3 linked regions of the Xenopus tropicalis genome follow. Each later gene encodes a partner of the first gene's protein in a complex. Links are inferred from orthologs where the notes say so. Each region holds a gene or a part of one and is shown in the gene's direction. Other genes may lie near its edges. The genes, in order: asf1a, tlk2 and cdan1.

Evidence for each region.
Region 2: the proteins of asf1a (region 1) and tlk2 are in contact, whole or in part, in a crystal structure (PDB 7LO0), measured with the Homo sapiens proteins. The link is inferred for Xenopus tropicalis from reciprocal best matches to the Homo sapiens genes ASF1A and TLK2. Residues at the interface, in NP_054753.1 of Homo sapiens: Val45, Ala48, Glu49, Glu51, Asp54, Asp88, Val92, Thr93, Val94, Leu96, Arg108, Gly110, Tyr111, Tyr112, Arg145, Thr147, Phe149; in NP_001271262.1 of Homo sapiens: Arg11, Arg12, Gln13, Leu15, Leu16, Glu17, Arg19, Phe20, Thr21, Gly22, Val23.
Region 3: the proteins of asf1a (region 1) and cdan1 are in contact, whole or in part, in a cryo-EM structure (PDB 9CVC), measured with the Homo sapiens proteins. The link is inferred for Xenopus tropicalis from reciprocal best matches to the Homo sapiens genes ASF1A and CDAN1. Residues at the interface, in NP_054753.1 of Homo sapiens: Gln5, Val6, Asn7, Asn8, Val9, Val10, Val11, Leu12, Asp13, Pro15, Asn20, Pro21, Phe28, Asp37, Val45, Ser47, Ala48, Glu49, Ser50, Glu51, Glu52, Asp54, Asp58, Ser59, Val60, Leu61, Val62, Gly63, Pro64, Val65; in NP_612486.2 of Homo sapiens: Arg195, Arg196, Ile197, Asn198, Thr200, Val202, Lys390, Leu391, His470, Glu471, Glu472, Pro473, Gly474, Trp475, Asp476, Lys538, Arg541, Arg544, Leu545, Gln546, Arg548, Leu549, Met550, Ala551, Pro552, Gln553, Ser554, Ser555, Arg806, Lys807.

Annotation. Positions count from the first base shown.
Region 1 is NC_030681.2:73,625,809-73,631,047, forward strand, and holds the start of asf1a (histone chaperone ASF1A), read left to right. Parts: upstream 1-2,101; 5' UTR 2,102-2,429; coding exon 2,430-2,538; intron 2,539-3,926; coding exon 3,927-4,042; intron 4,043-5,239. UniProt on the Homo sapiens protein: Histone chaperone that facilitates histone deposition and histone exchange and removal during nucleosome assembly and disassembly.
Region 2 is NC_030686.2:15,271,752-15,276,316, reverse strand, and holds part of tlk2 (serine/threonine-protein kinase tousled-like 2), read left to right. Parts: intron 1-1,623; coding exon 1,624-1,734; intron 1,735-2,532; coding exon 2,533-2,669; intron 2,670-4,402; coding exon 4,403-4,555; intron 4,556-4,565. UniProt on the Homo sapiens protein: Serine/threonine-protein kinase involved in the process of chromatin assembly and probably also DNA replication, transcription, repair, and chromosome segregation. Phosphorylates the chromatin assembly factors ASF1A and ASF1B.
Region 3 is NC_030684.2:105,928,772-105,933,336, forward strand, and holds part of cdan1 (codanin-1), read left to right. Parts: intron 1-259; coding exon 260-374; intron 375-930; coding exon 931-1,074; intron 1,075-2,501; coding exon 2,502-2,668; intron 2,669-4,182; coding exon 4,183-4,267; intron 4,268-4,565. UniProt on the Homo sapiens protein: May act as a negative regulator of ASF1 in chromatin assembly.

The DNA of each region.
Region 1 (5,239 bases):
AAGGGTAGTATGGGTTATGCTTGGTTGAATGGTCTTCATCATGTATATAAACAGCATTTGTAAATACTTTGTTAGTTAGTCACTTTCCTCTCCCCTCCATTGCACCTTTCCTCTCCCTTCTTCCTTCCTCCATTTTAGTTATTTTCCCTCCTTATTTTATACCTTTTATTTCTTTTGTAAATAAATATATCACTTATTTAATAAACCGGGCTGTCTCAGTTCAATAGTTAAATACCCCAGAATAGAGCAGGTCCAACAGTCATGTTAGATAAATTTGATTTGTTCATTAATGACTTAAGGGAGGGCATGATAAAGAATGTATCAGTGTTTGCAAATGGCACAAGCCAATTCAGCCCAATTAATTTCATCCAGGATGTGGCATCCTGTAATGTAAGATATATGTAAGGTTGTACACCTGGGATGTAAAAATAGGCAAGCTACTTATACCATTAAGGGCTCTGGCACACAAGGGAGTTTAGTCGCCCACGACAAATCCCTCCCCGATATGACATAGAGAAGGACCTTGGAGTCTTTGTAGATAATAAATTTAGCTGTGGCAAGCAATGCCAGGCAGCAGCTGCAAGGAAAACAAGGTGTTAAATTGTATTAAATGGGCATAGATTTGCTAGAGGCAGGGCTCATTCTCCCACTTTACAAAGCGCTGGTAAGGCCCCATCTAGAATATGCCATGCAGTTTTGGTCTTCAGTGAATTATTTAACAGTAGGTCCTTCCAGCAGACACAAAAGCATCCATTTCAATTAAAAGAAGGGACATTATATCTAAATATTCAGAAAGGGTTTTTTCAGCGAGAGATGTGAAGTTGTGAAATTCTCCCTATGAATCAGTCCTTCTGGCAGATACATTAGATAGACATGGTCATTGAAAATAGTTTTAGATGATCCAGGAGGCAAATTAGAGAGGCTTTAGAAGGGTTTTTTTTTTTTTTTGCTTTCCTCTGGATCAACTAGCAATTAGGCAGGTTATATATAGACACAAAAGGTTGAACTTGAAAGAGAAAGAAAAGCAATTTTTAGCATTTTACTGCCAATAGATTTGCCACATTAGTACCACCTAGAACGCTATATTTATTCAGCAGAAAGCTTTACCATACCTGAGTAAAGAGCCCTAGAAGCTCCCTCCGATAGCAGCTGCCATTTTAGCTTGGTCTTGGTAGCTTCCTGCTGCAGTTATAGCCATTGGTAGCGCGAATCACACATTCCTAAGGGTGGGAGTTCTTATGGGAGGGGGAAGCAGAAGGGAGGGGGAGAGGGAGAGTAAAAGAACTGAGCAGACTCATGCCCCAAACCTGAAGGAGCCCTAAAAGAGAGGAAGTCTGATACTGAAGAACATTTTCACAAAAAACAAGCAATCACAAGAAATCCTGTGTTTCTTTTGAAGGACTCAGTGCAGTGTTTCTGTGAGTGCTTATGGCTTACTTAGTTTTTACTTTCCCTTCTCCTTTAATGGATGTGTCTTTTTTCAACCTAATTTACTATGGTTGAACCCTAATTTTATGTTTTCCCAGAATTGGCAGGTTTTTTTGTCCTCCCATACAGGCAAGGTACATTTTATTTTTTATGTTTTCCCAGAAATAGGGGTTCTACCATATAGTCCTATAAGTAACTGCTACATTACTGTCAATTTTTTTTAAATATAAATAAAAGTAAATAAAGAGCAAAAAAAAAACCCCAAAAAAACAAAAATTCTGATTAACAGCTTTTCCCCAGAGGACATTTTGCCAGGGGGGATTCAGAGCCCCAGGTGCAACAGCCTTTAATTGGTTGCATGCATATCCTTATGAGATAAACTCAGCTGATCCCTGAATATCTTAATTTGTACACCAGGGAGATAGAGAAAAACATTTTTTAAAGAAGCGAAGTTTTTGTTGAAAGCCTCAAAGTGCCAAAAGAGGCAAAGCTCACTACTTTTGAACTGTTCAGACGCTAGGAAACACAGATGCAGCAAGACTATTGAGCCTGTCAGTGCGGAGAGATCCTCCCTGAGGTGTGCTCGAGCTGTCAGCCAGCAGGTGGAGCAGCTGCTAAACATTTCCAGCTCCCATGGTCATGAGAAGTCTGTCTTTTTCTGTCGTGTAGCTTTTAGCATTATGGGAAGGGCCAGGGAGCAGCCAATCCGGACACACGCTGTTATAGCAACAGAACAGAATGTGGTGTAGTGAAGTAAGATAGGAGAGCAGGGGAGGGGGGAGAAATAATAAATAAAATAGAGTGGAGTTGCTCACATTGAAAGTAATCAATGGATGAAATAAAAAGAAAACAAACAAACAAATAAGCTGATTTGGAAGAAAGTTTCTCAGGACTGGTGTAAAGAACTGCAAGAAGCAGTGACAGGGGCTCTGCACAGATAAGCACTGCTGGGTCTTGCCTGCACTCTCACACCATCCCCATTGTTTGAGCATTTCCAAAATATGGCAAAGGTTCAGGTGAACAATGTGGTGGTGCTGGATAACCCTTCTCCTTTCTACAATCCTTTCCAGTTCGAAATCACCTTTGAGTGCATAGAGGACCTTTCTGAAGGTGAGTTACAATCAGTTCTTTCTTTTGGCAGTCTGCTAAAGAAGCATCCTAGTGCACAAGAGGTTAAACTGATTCCCACAGGCCTGATGCTTGGCTAAGAAGCAGAGCAGGCGCTGACAGGAATAAAATGCCGGCACATTAACGTAGACAAGCAGGGAAAAAACTTGCGGTTGCACTAGCTGGGAGTGTATGGGAATGCTGCTGCACACACTGGGAAAGTAAGTTTGAAAGGTGCCCTGGTGGCAGGAGCAGCAGCCATGTTTTGTTTGTGGATAGAGAGGGAGGGGGTCGGGTTAATGAGTGTGAAACAGACACAGACAATGCAGGACACGCAATGTGACCTCTGCACTGGGGCTCTTGCAGTGCAAAGACAGCAGATTTTAAATAGCGGTTACTTGTATAATGCTGACCTGCTGCCTGGAGTGAAAAGCAAAAGCTTGTTTTCTATTTTTTTTTTCCTGCAGTTTTTATTATATAAATACATGGGAAAATACAAAAATAAGGATGTTTATTGCATTGTTATGGGGAGAAAAGATGTTTATTCTTCCTTGCATTCATCTTTTTTTATGTCACAGGTGGAATTATAGCCCCTCCCTCATCTCACTGTGTAATGGGCACAAACTCAATAGTAACACAGGGGCATTTAGATGTACATATTCATGGAACTGGGCGCTTGTGTGCGTTAATAATCACTGTCCCAACATAGTAAATAAAAACACACACTGACAATCTGCCTATGAATCTCTTTAAAAATGGTTAACTTGATGGGCAGTTGTCCTTTTTTAACCCAAATTAATGGTAAAATTATGAATATAATAATTTTTCGAATAACAACAAGAAAATGTGTCACCTTAGAAAGATGTCCAGTTCTCCATGATCAAATCTGTCATCCATTTTTCCACTTTCAGAAGAACAATATATTGATACAGCTAGCTGCTGCAATTTTTAAAAATCTGACTAAATTCATTTTCATTAATGTCTGACATTTACTAAAAATGTGAACTGAAAAAGTCAAAAGTTGCCTCACAAGAAAAATTCAGACTCAGAAGACAGAAACAATACATATGCCATCCCACGGTGATAAAAAAAAAAAAAAAAAAACCCCACTATGTTTAGGATGTCATCTAATGAACTTTTTTTTTAGGCTGATGCCACACAGGGCCTGTCGTAAAACAGAGTCCCTATGCTGGCATCAGCCTTCTTCCTTGCCTCTCATTTCAGCAACCCATATCTGCTACAAGTGCCTGCACCTGAACTGACGCAATAGTTTTCCTCAGGCTGAGAATCAGCCCTGTGTGGCATCAGGCTAAGAGACTACTTTTATATTTATAGATAGCTGAAGAGCTAATTTCCCATTCCTTTTCAATTAACATTATACTTTCCACCAGATTTAGAATGGAAAATTATTTACGTGGGCTCTGCTGAAAGTGAAGAATATGACCAGGTTTTAGACTCTGTATTGGTGGGACCTGTACCTGCAGGCCGACATATGTTTGTATTTCAGGTAAGTTGATATTGATTTTATATAAAATATTCTTCTTAGTGAAGAACCATTAAGGGTGGTGGCACACAGGGTGATTAGTCCCCCATGGTTACATTTCAGCTATCGCAGGCAACTAATCTCCCTGAAAAGCCTTTCCTCTGGCAATAAAGTGAATCGCCGGTGGAATGGCATATACTTTACATTCATTTTTACAAAGTTTCCTCCTCCAGAAAACAATTCATACAAATTCTTACAAACTCTGCAATAGTTTGAAAAACAACTGCCAGGTGATGTAATGTTTATTTTGGCCATAAACACACTAATGATATTGTACGAAACCTCGTTTTGAACGATATTCGGTGCGTGTATGGCGGATCGACGAGACAACCGATATAGCAAAGGCTGTGGATATTGGCTGTCTCATCGATCACCCAGGTTAAAAGATTTTGATCGGGTGCCACTGAAGGCGCCCAAACAAAATCTGCGTTCAGGGCTGAATCGGCAGGTGGAGGTAGAATTCCTATTGTTTCTACCTCCACATTCAGCCCTGAACGTTGTGGGGGAAACAAACGATCCTGTGACCATCAGAATTGCTACGTGTATGGCCACAAACAGGGGGACTCACAGAGAGGGGTTCACTCTCAGAGCAGAGAAAGCTGTAACCAAGTGCCAGGAGTCACTGAGAAAGGTCTTTCAGAGTAGGACACAGAGCAAGAATGCTGCCTGCCTGTGTTAGGAACTCCCAGGGGGCTGGGGGTGCTGCCTGCCACTGCAAGGAGCCATGTGTATGAGTGCCAGAACGACAAGGCTTAGTGAGAAGCCAAAGTGTGAGATGGCCGGGATGGTGAGAAGCCCCAGGAAAAGGTTCCAGAGTATGAGAGTTACCCTGGAAGGTGAGAATTCCAAATAGGGTACTAATCATGAACATATATGATGAACAGTTTGCTGATGTTTATGTTGGGTAGAGTTTGCCCCAAAATAAACTTGTGTTTTTTGCCTGAAGAACTGATGTCTCTGTCTCTATGCTCCTGCCTACCATGACTAATTTCCCCCAAGAATTACGTGTACAGACAGACAGTGTGTCAATATATAACATGTCAAGGACTGCTCCCCACTGAAGTTTGACAGCCACATAGCTAGTACACTTTAAGGGCTTTGGCACACAGGGAGATTAGTCGCCCGCGACAAGGGAGATTTGTTGCGGGCGACTAATCTCCC
Region 2 (4,565 bases), on another chromosome or scaffold:
GAGCAAATTCGGCGAATGCGCAAGAACTGTCCCACTGGGATGCCCTCTATACATGTCCTAGGGTGGCCACTATCAGCATGTAAAAGTGTGTTACGTGTTATAGGCTTACGATACAGATCAGTGGTTACTACATCATCCTTAATGGAGAAAGTCACATCCAAAAAAGGTATCCTTGTCAGATCTGTTTCATAAGTAAAAGTAATACCCTGTACAGCTTTATTACAATAATCAATGAAGGATAGCAATGAAAATGCATCTCCATCCCATATTCCTATACAATCATCAATATAGCGATAAAAGCACATGATCTGGCTGCGGAATGGGTTTCGATCCCCAAAGACGTGGAGCCTCTCCCACCAACCCATGAATAGGTTGGCATAAGTGGGGGCAAATGAAGCTCCCATCGCGGCCCCACGTCTCTGGAGAAAGAACTTCCCATCAAAAAGAAAATAGTTGGTATATAAAAGGAAATGTACTGATTGTAAAATAAAATCCCTCTGTTCTGGGGGAAAACCCCCTTCCTGATCCAGCCAAAATTGGATAGCATGCAAGCCAGCCCCATGATCGATAGACGAATATAAAGCTGTAACGTCCATGGAAAACCACCTGTAGGTTGGCTTCCATTTCAGGTCAACTAGCTTATTGATACACATAGTGGTGTCCTTTAAAAAGGTTGGCAATTGTAGCACCAAAGGCATTAGTAGCTTATCCACATAGCCAGATAGACCTTCATTCAAGGACCCAATGCCGGCCACTATAGGTCGACCTTTAACATCTTGCAGAGACTTATGGACCTTCGGGAGAACATGAAAAATGGGTATGGTGGGAGAGATACAGTTGAGAGACTCATATTCTTTCTTAGTTAAGACACCTATAGACATCCCTTCTAGTAATAGCTCATTCAATGATTTCTGGAACCGGATCGTTGGATCCTTATCCAATGGGACATAGGTGTCCAAATCTAATAACTGACGCATCACCTCGGCCTCATACATACCAGCATCCAAAATTACCACCGACCCACCTTTGTCTGCAGCTTTGATCACAATATCCTTATTGGCGCTCAATGACTTGAGTGCCTTAACTTCACCATATATTTGACATCTCCCTGTAGATCAGTGGTTCCTAAATTATTGGTATGGTCCTGTGGCAAACCTGGATCAGTGGCTTGAGGGTCTCGGCCTATATGCCACTTTGTGTGAAATTTGGGAACAGTTCCTAATGTCCTACATACACCTAAACCAGTCAGTTATGGTGCTGTTTGTGACGCACCAATATTTACCAATATCTAAACCTATAAGTAGGGCCCTGACCAATGGTTGGACCTTCAAGGGGTGCATAAACCAAAAAAATGATGACTAGATATCCTCTCTCTAGGGCTAGGCTATTACTCTGTTACAAATAAGTAGTGTGTGTTCTAACAATGCTTAATAAGAAGCACAGTAGGATTGGGGTAGACTACCGCATCTCGGGAAAGATATATCTGCCTAAATGTTGATTGAATGGCATCCTGCCCTTTTTTTATATAAAGGTGCTATTGTAATTGCATATACTTGTTTTTCACACTACATGTCCCCTTTTATGACTTCTTTTTTTGATTCCTGACTTTTGTCTCGTTTTTAGGTAAACTGTGACCTAAGGCGACAGATGGACGAGCAGAAGAAAATGCTGGAAAAATATAAAGAACGGTTAAACAGATGCGTGACAATGAGCAAAAAGTTGCTCATAGAGAAGGTAAACATTTACTTTAATAAGCATAAGTAACGTGAAACAGCAAATATCTGTTGCATAGATTCCTAAACATTTTCAGCTTTCCGTGCACTGTGTAGTAACTTAAAATGGTAGGCTCTGACCAAGGCTCAAAAGCTGCATTGGGCAAGAAATTTTGTATGTGGTATATAAATCTGCATTACCTGATATGATTCAGTTGTTAACTCGAGAGCCAGAGGATCAGATTTTCCTTTACATAAAGCCATCACATTTCCACAGAATTATTTTCAATTCCCATCAGTCTATGCTCCAGTGCAGCTTACAGTGTAAAGTCCCTTTAGACAGTTAGACAACACAGTGGGGTTAATTATGTCTGAAGCCAATTAACCTGTTAGTTTTGGTCCCAAATATGTAACCTTACATTTATCAGCACTAATCTGCTGCTTAGCCAGATTGCAAGATTGTATAGATCCTGCTGCAAACAATGCCACATACTGTATGAACTTAATTGGCCTGCATAGTTTGTCTCCCCAAACACCAATACATTGCTTACTATACCCAGCCCCAAATCATTAGTGAATAAATTGTAGAGCCAATACAGAACCCTGTGGCAATCCAATAATAATTTATTTTTTAAAGTATGTACCACTGACACATGCTTTTGCCAATTTTCTATCTATATACAAATTGCATTAACAGGACCAACAGAACTTAGTTTAGAAAGCAGTTGTTTATGCAGAACTGTGTTTAACTTAGTTGTAAGCACTGGTGAGAGCAAATTTTTTTAAGCTTTCTGCAAACAACTTTAAATTCTCTTTCCAGTCTAAACAGGAGAAAATGGCTTGTCGGGATAAAAGCATGCAGGATCGCCTGCGCCTGGGACACTTTACTACTGTCCGACATGGGGCCTCTTTCACTGAGCAGTGGACAGATGGTTATGCCTTCCAGAACCTTATCAAGTAAGAAATAGTCTGCATGCAGTGTTTGTACTTACTGTGATTACAGCACTTACAGTGCAATGATCTTAAACTACTGCATTTTTTACATGCATAAACTTCTGTCATTGATTTACATGATAAACGTCTGATTTTTATATACCACAGGGCGAAGCTCACCTTCACAAAATATGTATAATATGTATTAGCAAAGAGAGCTTTTCATGTTTTTTTCTTTCTAATGTCATCTAAACTGTCAAAACCCACCACAGTCTAAAAATAATTTCACTTTACCAGTGGATGGTATTCAGAAGACAGTCAGGAATCTCTCAGATATGATATGATAAGTCCACAGTTAAGTGTCTGGGAGCTTCACCCTTTTCTGACACATCTTAACCTTCCAGATCCAAAATCTCACTGTATGTATTTATCAAGGCCATGTCTGCTATTATGTGCTGTTGGAGGTGCCCACTGTGAAATTGCTCTTCTGAAAGCTTAGAGATACTGACATCAGAAATAAAACCTTCTTATAAATCATAACATTGTTTTTGCATGCCATTTTTTGCCCAATGCTTTTATATTACCTACAAGGGGGCTACCATATTTGTACAGCAGTTGGCCATTAGCATTAGAAGCTATACCTGACAGGTCGAAAAGGGACAGTCAGATTTAGGAACTTTAAATTACAATTTCTTAAAAATGCAGACCTTTACTAATATTCATGCCAACCAGATCAGTAAAGGTTCCCGTGTAGTAGTCTCTCTTTATACAGCCAAAGCCTTTGACTCTGTCCAGTGGCTTTATCTCCTGAAACCTCTTTAGAACCTTACTGTTTAATGCCAGGAAATGTATTCTCATTCAATGGACGGCACATCCTCCCCCAACAATCGCCAGTTGGCTCAATTAGCTTAAAGCCCTTCTACCACTGATACAACCTACTTACACAGCAAGGGGGTGCCCTCAAAAATATGTCAAGGTATAGGGACAATGGGCTGAAACTATAGAATAGCACCATATAATCTTGTCCTTGGGAATGTGAACCTCCACCAAAAATCCTAAAGTCTTCCCCCTCCTTAGCAGAAGTTTGAACAGTACCTCGAGTAGGTTGTTACTGATTACAAAAAACAATGTATTCATAGACATGAAAATGAAAAACTCTTGTAGAACTAATGTCATAATGTTGTTGTTTTATGTTATTAATGCATGAATAAAAATCTTTGGGAAAAAAAAATGCACATCTGTCGGCAAAGAACAATTAACATGACCTATAGGTAATTTTTTATGTACTCATATTTTGAAGAGTAGGCTGCATGCAAATATGTGTTCCAAAATGTTGACATTCTCCTATAGTTCCCTCCTCTTCCAAAATTCCAAGCTTCTGAGCGTACAGTCTATATCAGTGACCCCCAGCCCCCCCCCCCAAGTGACTTGTGAGCAATATATTCTTCACCCCGCCCCCCTTTGAGGATGATACCAGGGGCCTCAAAATTTTGGCCGATCTTAAATTTCTGGCTTGGATGCAAGTTTTGGAAGCGAGACAGACTCTGCTACAGACGAGCAGTCCACATGGGGCTACCAAATAGCCAATCACAGCATTATTTTGCAGCCCCAAAAAACTCTCTTCATGCTTTTGTGGCTCACCAACAATTTATACATCCGAGTGTGCCTCACAAGTAAAATAAGTTGTGGATCCCTTGTCTCTAAGTTTGTGGCACACTTATATATTACACTAAATATATATATTTTTTTTTTCCCAGGCAACAAGAACGTATAAATACCCAAAGGGAGGAGATTGAAAGGCAAAGAAAAATGCTGGCAAAACGGAAACCACCTGCAATGGGCCAAACCCCTCCAGCCAACAATGAGCAGAAGCAAAGAAAAAACAAGACAAATGGAGCAGAGAATGAAGCGTAAGTGCTG
Region 3 (4,565 bases), on another chromosome or scaffold:
GGCTTGCCCTCTTGTTAAACAAAAATGACTAGATCAGGAAGTGGTGAGGTGTATAGCAGCAGCAGGCAGGAGTAGTCTTCCTTCTTCTCTAGTGTCCTGCCTCCTGCTGGCAGATGCTGTACTTCATGGCCCCACAGACATCCCAAGAGAAAGGGATTTAACAGTGAGTAACACAAATTCCCCCTTTTTTATGGTTTGTGTATGATCTCTCTAGGCAGAAATTCTGTTCTTGAATGTATCTGTCTGTTCTGGTTAATAGTTATCATTTTAATCAACATCTGATGGACAGCCTGTGCCAAGAGATAAAAGAACTGGATGGCATCTCTATTATTGGGCATGAGCCAGCTGATGGAGAATCTGATATGGATGAGCAGGTACAAGCCACTGTTTTTTCACCCATTCTAATTATTTAGAATTAATTTGCCTTACTTTGAACTCTGATTTGTATCTAGTGATTAATTGCATGAGCAATCAATAGCTACACAGCTTGGCGGAAAATAATTTCCTACTGTTTTGCATGTCAATAAACTGGAAACAAATGTGCGCACACTTCAGGCGATTGGTGATCAAAAATCTTGACTGCCATATTTCCAAATGAAAACCTGATTTACAGGTGCACTTGCAATTCCATGGTAATTGTGAGCATATTACCTGCCCGCAGAGTTGTGGATCACCTAAGAGAACAACTGCAAGAACTGTGGAAGGTTTTAGTGTTCCAGTGGATTGGCTAGATATGCTGCTCCTTAGTATGTCCTTTGCAACGTCTAGGGTAATATTAGGTTGACTGCATGGTATCATTAAAACTACTACATATTTGCGGTTTTGAATTGCTAATTGTTTGGTAGTGCAATTATAATTATTTCCAACACATTTCATACATTTTCTCTAATCCCAAAAAATAACCATAAAATTAACATGCCATCTTTGCAGGATGAAAAAATTCGTTTTGCTTCTGTCATCATGACCCTTCGTCTGCTGGCAAAGTTTCTGGGATTTATATATTTCTTACCGTACAGAACAACAGAAACGCTCACCAGTGAACTGCAAGAATCTGCCTTGGCTTTAAGAAACCAGGTAAAGAATAAATCACCTAAAACTCTGTATAGGTGTTCTAGTTTGGTCTTTTCTAGTTTTGTATGTATTTACAAGAATATTAGTGGTCTGCCAGTCTGAGCACAATGGGGAATTTTTATACAGGAATGAAGACACAAATGATTTCTGGCTGAAATCTACCTTGTGCTTGGTGAAAGGAGGATTGCATTCATGTCACTACACTCACGAGCTGAGTGGATAGGATCCTAAGTGTGCTGTAGGATAAAGAAGCCCTTCTTTGGTGGCCTAATGCAAACAGAACTAACATACTGACATCTACAAATTCAACCTCAGCATGTTGAGTAGGTCAAGTAAATGCAGTGCTGCTGACAGTCACAATGCAGAATTGCTCGGTTTTAGGATGAAATCTACCATGTGATTACTGACAGGGGGATGCTGTGCTTGTCAGTGCCTTTGTAACAGCGGTGGCAGTGGATAAACAATTTCTCCAAATACACAAGTGGAGAAGCTACCAGGTGACATTATCCATAGGGATGTATAATGTAAAAGGGATAGAGTGAAATAATTAAATAATACCTCAGTTTATATATACTAGAGTTATAACTTTAGTTAGAACTAAGCCTTTTTCAGCAACCTTCTCCTCAAAGCTTAGGCTACTGCTACACTGGACTGTGTCTCTGATTGTGTATAAGTGCCAGCCGAGAAACAACCCTTCCATTTCCTTCTGTGGTCCACCATTGTTTTCTGGGTGCAGACACAGGAGACTGCAGAACGAAGCAGAGGGGCTGTTTCATGTTTTGTGCTTATACGCAGGTCGAAAACAGCCCAGTGTTGCAGTGCAAACAAGAAAAACTCCAGTGCCATTGGCTAAGGTAAGAAACAACAAACTGTATATAGTGTTGTATTCTCTTTTAATGACACAACTTTTGTGATCCAAAGTATAATAATAAAAGTGACCAGTGGAAAACCCCCCAGATAACTAATAGGTCTTTGCACCGGGTGCCCGTTTTCAATTTTCTCCTTTTACATAAAACTACCCTACATAGGCGACTTGTTTTAGGTGCTGAATATTGGTTTTTAGATCTTTTTGGTTTTAAAGATTTGGGGTTTTTTTTCCACTGATCACTTGTATAATTATACTTTGTATCACAAAGGTGTGTTGTTAAAAGAAAATACTACACTATATACAGTTTGTTGTTTCTTCCCCTAGCCAATGGCGCTGGAGTTTTTCTTGTTTGTTTAGAATTAAAAGGATTTGTTGAAACTCCATCAACTTTGGCCGGGATCAGCTTGGAACTTTTTACACATAGATTTATTTATTTTTCCGGTGTATCAGTAGCCTTAGTATTCACCAGCATTAATTTGACAAGGCTCATAAGCAATAAGTACAAATACAAACTTTGAGTCTAATTGTAAATATTCACTGAAAATGTCTTTTACTTGTTCAGACTTTACCCATGCTAGACGTGTTGCAGCTGCTGAGGCGTTCAATGCAGAATTACCGTATTGTGCTGACTGTCCCATGGGTAGTAGAATATTTGTCATTAGTGGATCAAGTTGCTCCCCTTCTGGATTATTACAAGAAAGTGTTTGCACTATTGATGCACCTGTACAGGTGAGCAGCAGAGTTACAGCATGAGAACTTGACATTTTTGTTTTATTGCTGTTCAAGACAAATTAATTTTGAAGTAATATCTGTATAAAAATACATTTAGCCTTTTGCCTGCCAGGTATGTAGATTCTGTGTATTGCCAGGTAAAGGCTCAAAGTGCCAAATGAATAATCCACCTTTATTGGCACACTGAGTGGTGTACTTCACAGGCAGCTCTTTTTTTTTTTTTTTTTTTTTAATACCATTAAACTGAGTGACGTAATTGTACTTTGCATTGTTGTTTTATGTTTTTTGCATATAAAAGTGTAATTTGTTGAATCAGGTATTTTAAACACTGATTACACTGTGTGATTACTTTTCTTTTTTTATTGCATTTTTATGTTTGCATTAGAAATTAGAATTCTTGAAATTAAAATGCAATATCCACAGTGTGTGTTTGTTTGTTTGTTTATTCTTTCATATTATGCGCAGACGTTAGATACTATTCTACTCTTGTAATGCTTTGCATGTAATTGTAGATCAGCAAAAATTGAAACATGGCATGATACCAAAGTTAAAACACTGATTTCGAATGCCCAGAAAACCGTATTTAACCTAATTTGAATTATCCAGGAAATCCATTTCCCGTTTTTTTTTTTTCCCAAATCATTCATAAGACTGATAGAATGTCATTCGCTTATTGCCTCTTTAAAGCTTTCTTACTAGCTCTCTCCTTTTGGATCGATGCAAGTAAAATACATTGCTCGTAGCGATCCAAGTTAATTGCAGGGAAATGTGAAAGAAAACTTTAAATGCACAGTGTATTATTTATATAGCACCATCATCTCCCCAAAGCAAGGTGATACAAAACATAACACCCAAAATATAACACCTACAAACGGTGATATCTTACTAAAGCAGATACACAGTGCAGGATGTGTGAGTGTTAAGGACAGTAGAGGAGGGTGCTGCTCAGAATCAAAATAAGTTGTGTTTGTAGCTACACATCTACACATCTCTTGCGCCATGTCTTCTGAGCCCTCTGTTATACCCTGCCCTCACTCTCCCATTGCAATAATATGCAGATTTGTGGACTGCTGTAACAAGCCAAACACACCAGTGATGTGCGGGTTGACCTGCAACCCATGTGTTTTGGGTGCGGGACAGTTTGGAAAGTACACTGCTCCTTTTGGACCCTAAGGCATGCTCAGATTCAGCACACACAGCTGAAAGACACAGGACCTACAGTGGCAACAGTTTGCAGGTTAGGGTCGGGTGCAGGTTTAGGTTTTTCTGACCGGCTCACCACTAAAACACACTTAGGCCACTGAGCTGGATGTGGCAATCCTGAATATAATTATGACCTTTGGCCTGCTCCACTTATAATTTTAATAAACATTTATTCAATTATTTTATAATAATCTATTATATGGAGACTCATTGGGTCACTTCATGGAGAAAGCAGGCCTGTACTGTGCTCTTACCGTGAATGTTTCTGTGAAATGCTCTGATTAACAGATCCACTTTTATTATCTTAGGTACAAGCTGATCCTTGCTGAAGAGAGAGAAATGGGATTCCTGAATAAGTTGCTTATTCTTGCTGCATTGGGCTGGCTTTTTCAGGTAAAATTGTGCCACAGTGAAAAAAATGTTCTCTTCACTCATAAACAGATTTTGCATAATGAAAAAAATATAATTCTAAGCAACCTTCCAAAATATACTAATCACTTATTTTCTGTGGTTTTAAATTTATGTGCAATTATTATAAACAGTATTTGTTGATATTCTCTGCACTGATGCCTCTAACTCCTGAGACTTTGATGCAAGCCAGCTGATTAAGAAACAGCAGTTTTAAGAGTCAGATCCATGGAGGAAGAAAGGGATAAACACTTGAAATAGCAACTACATTTATATATAACTT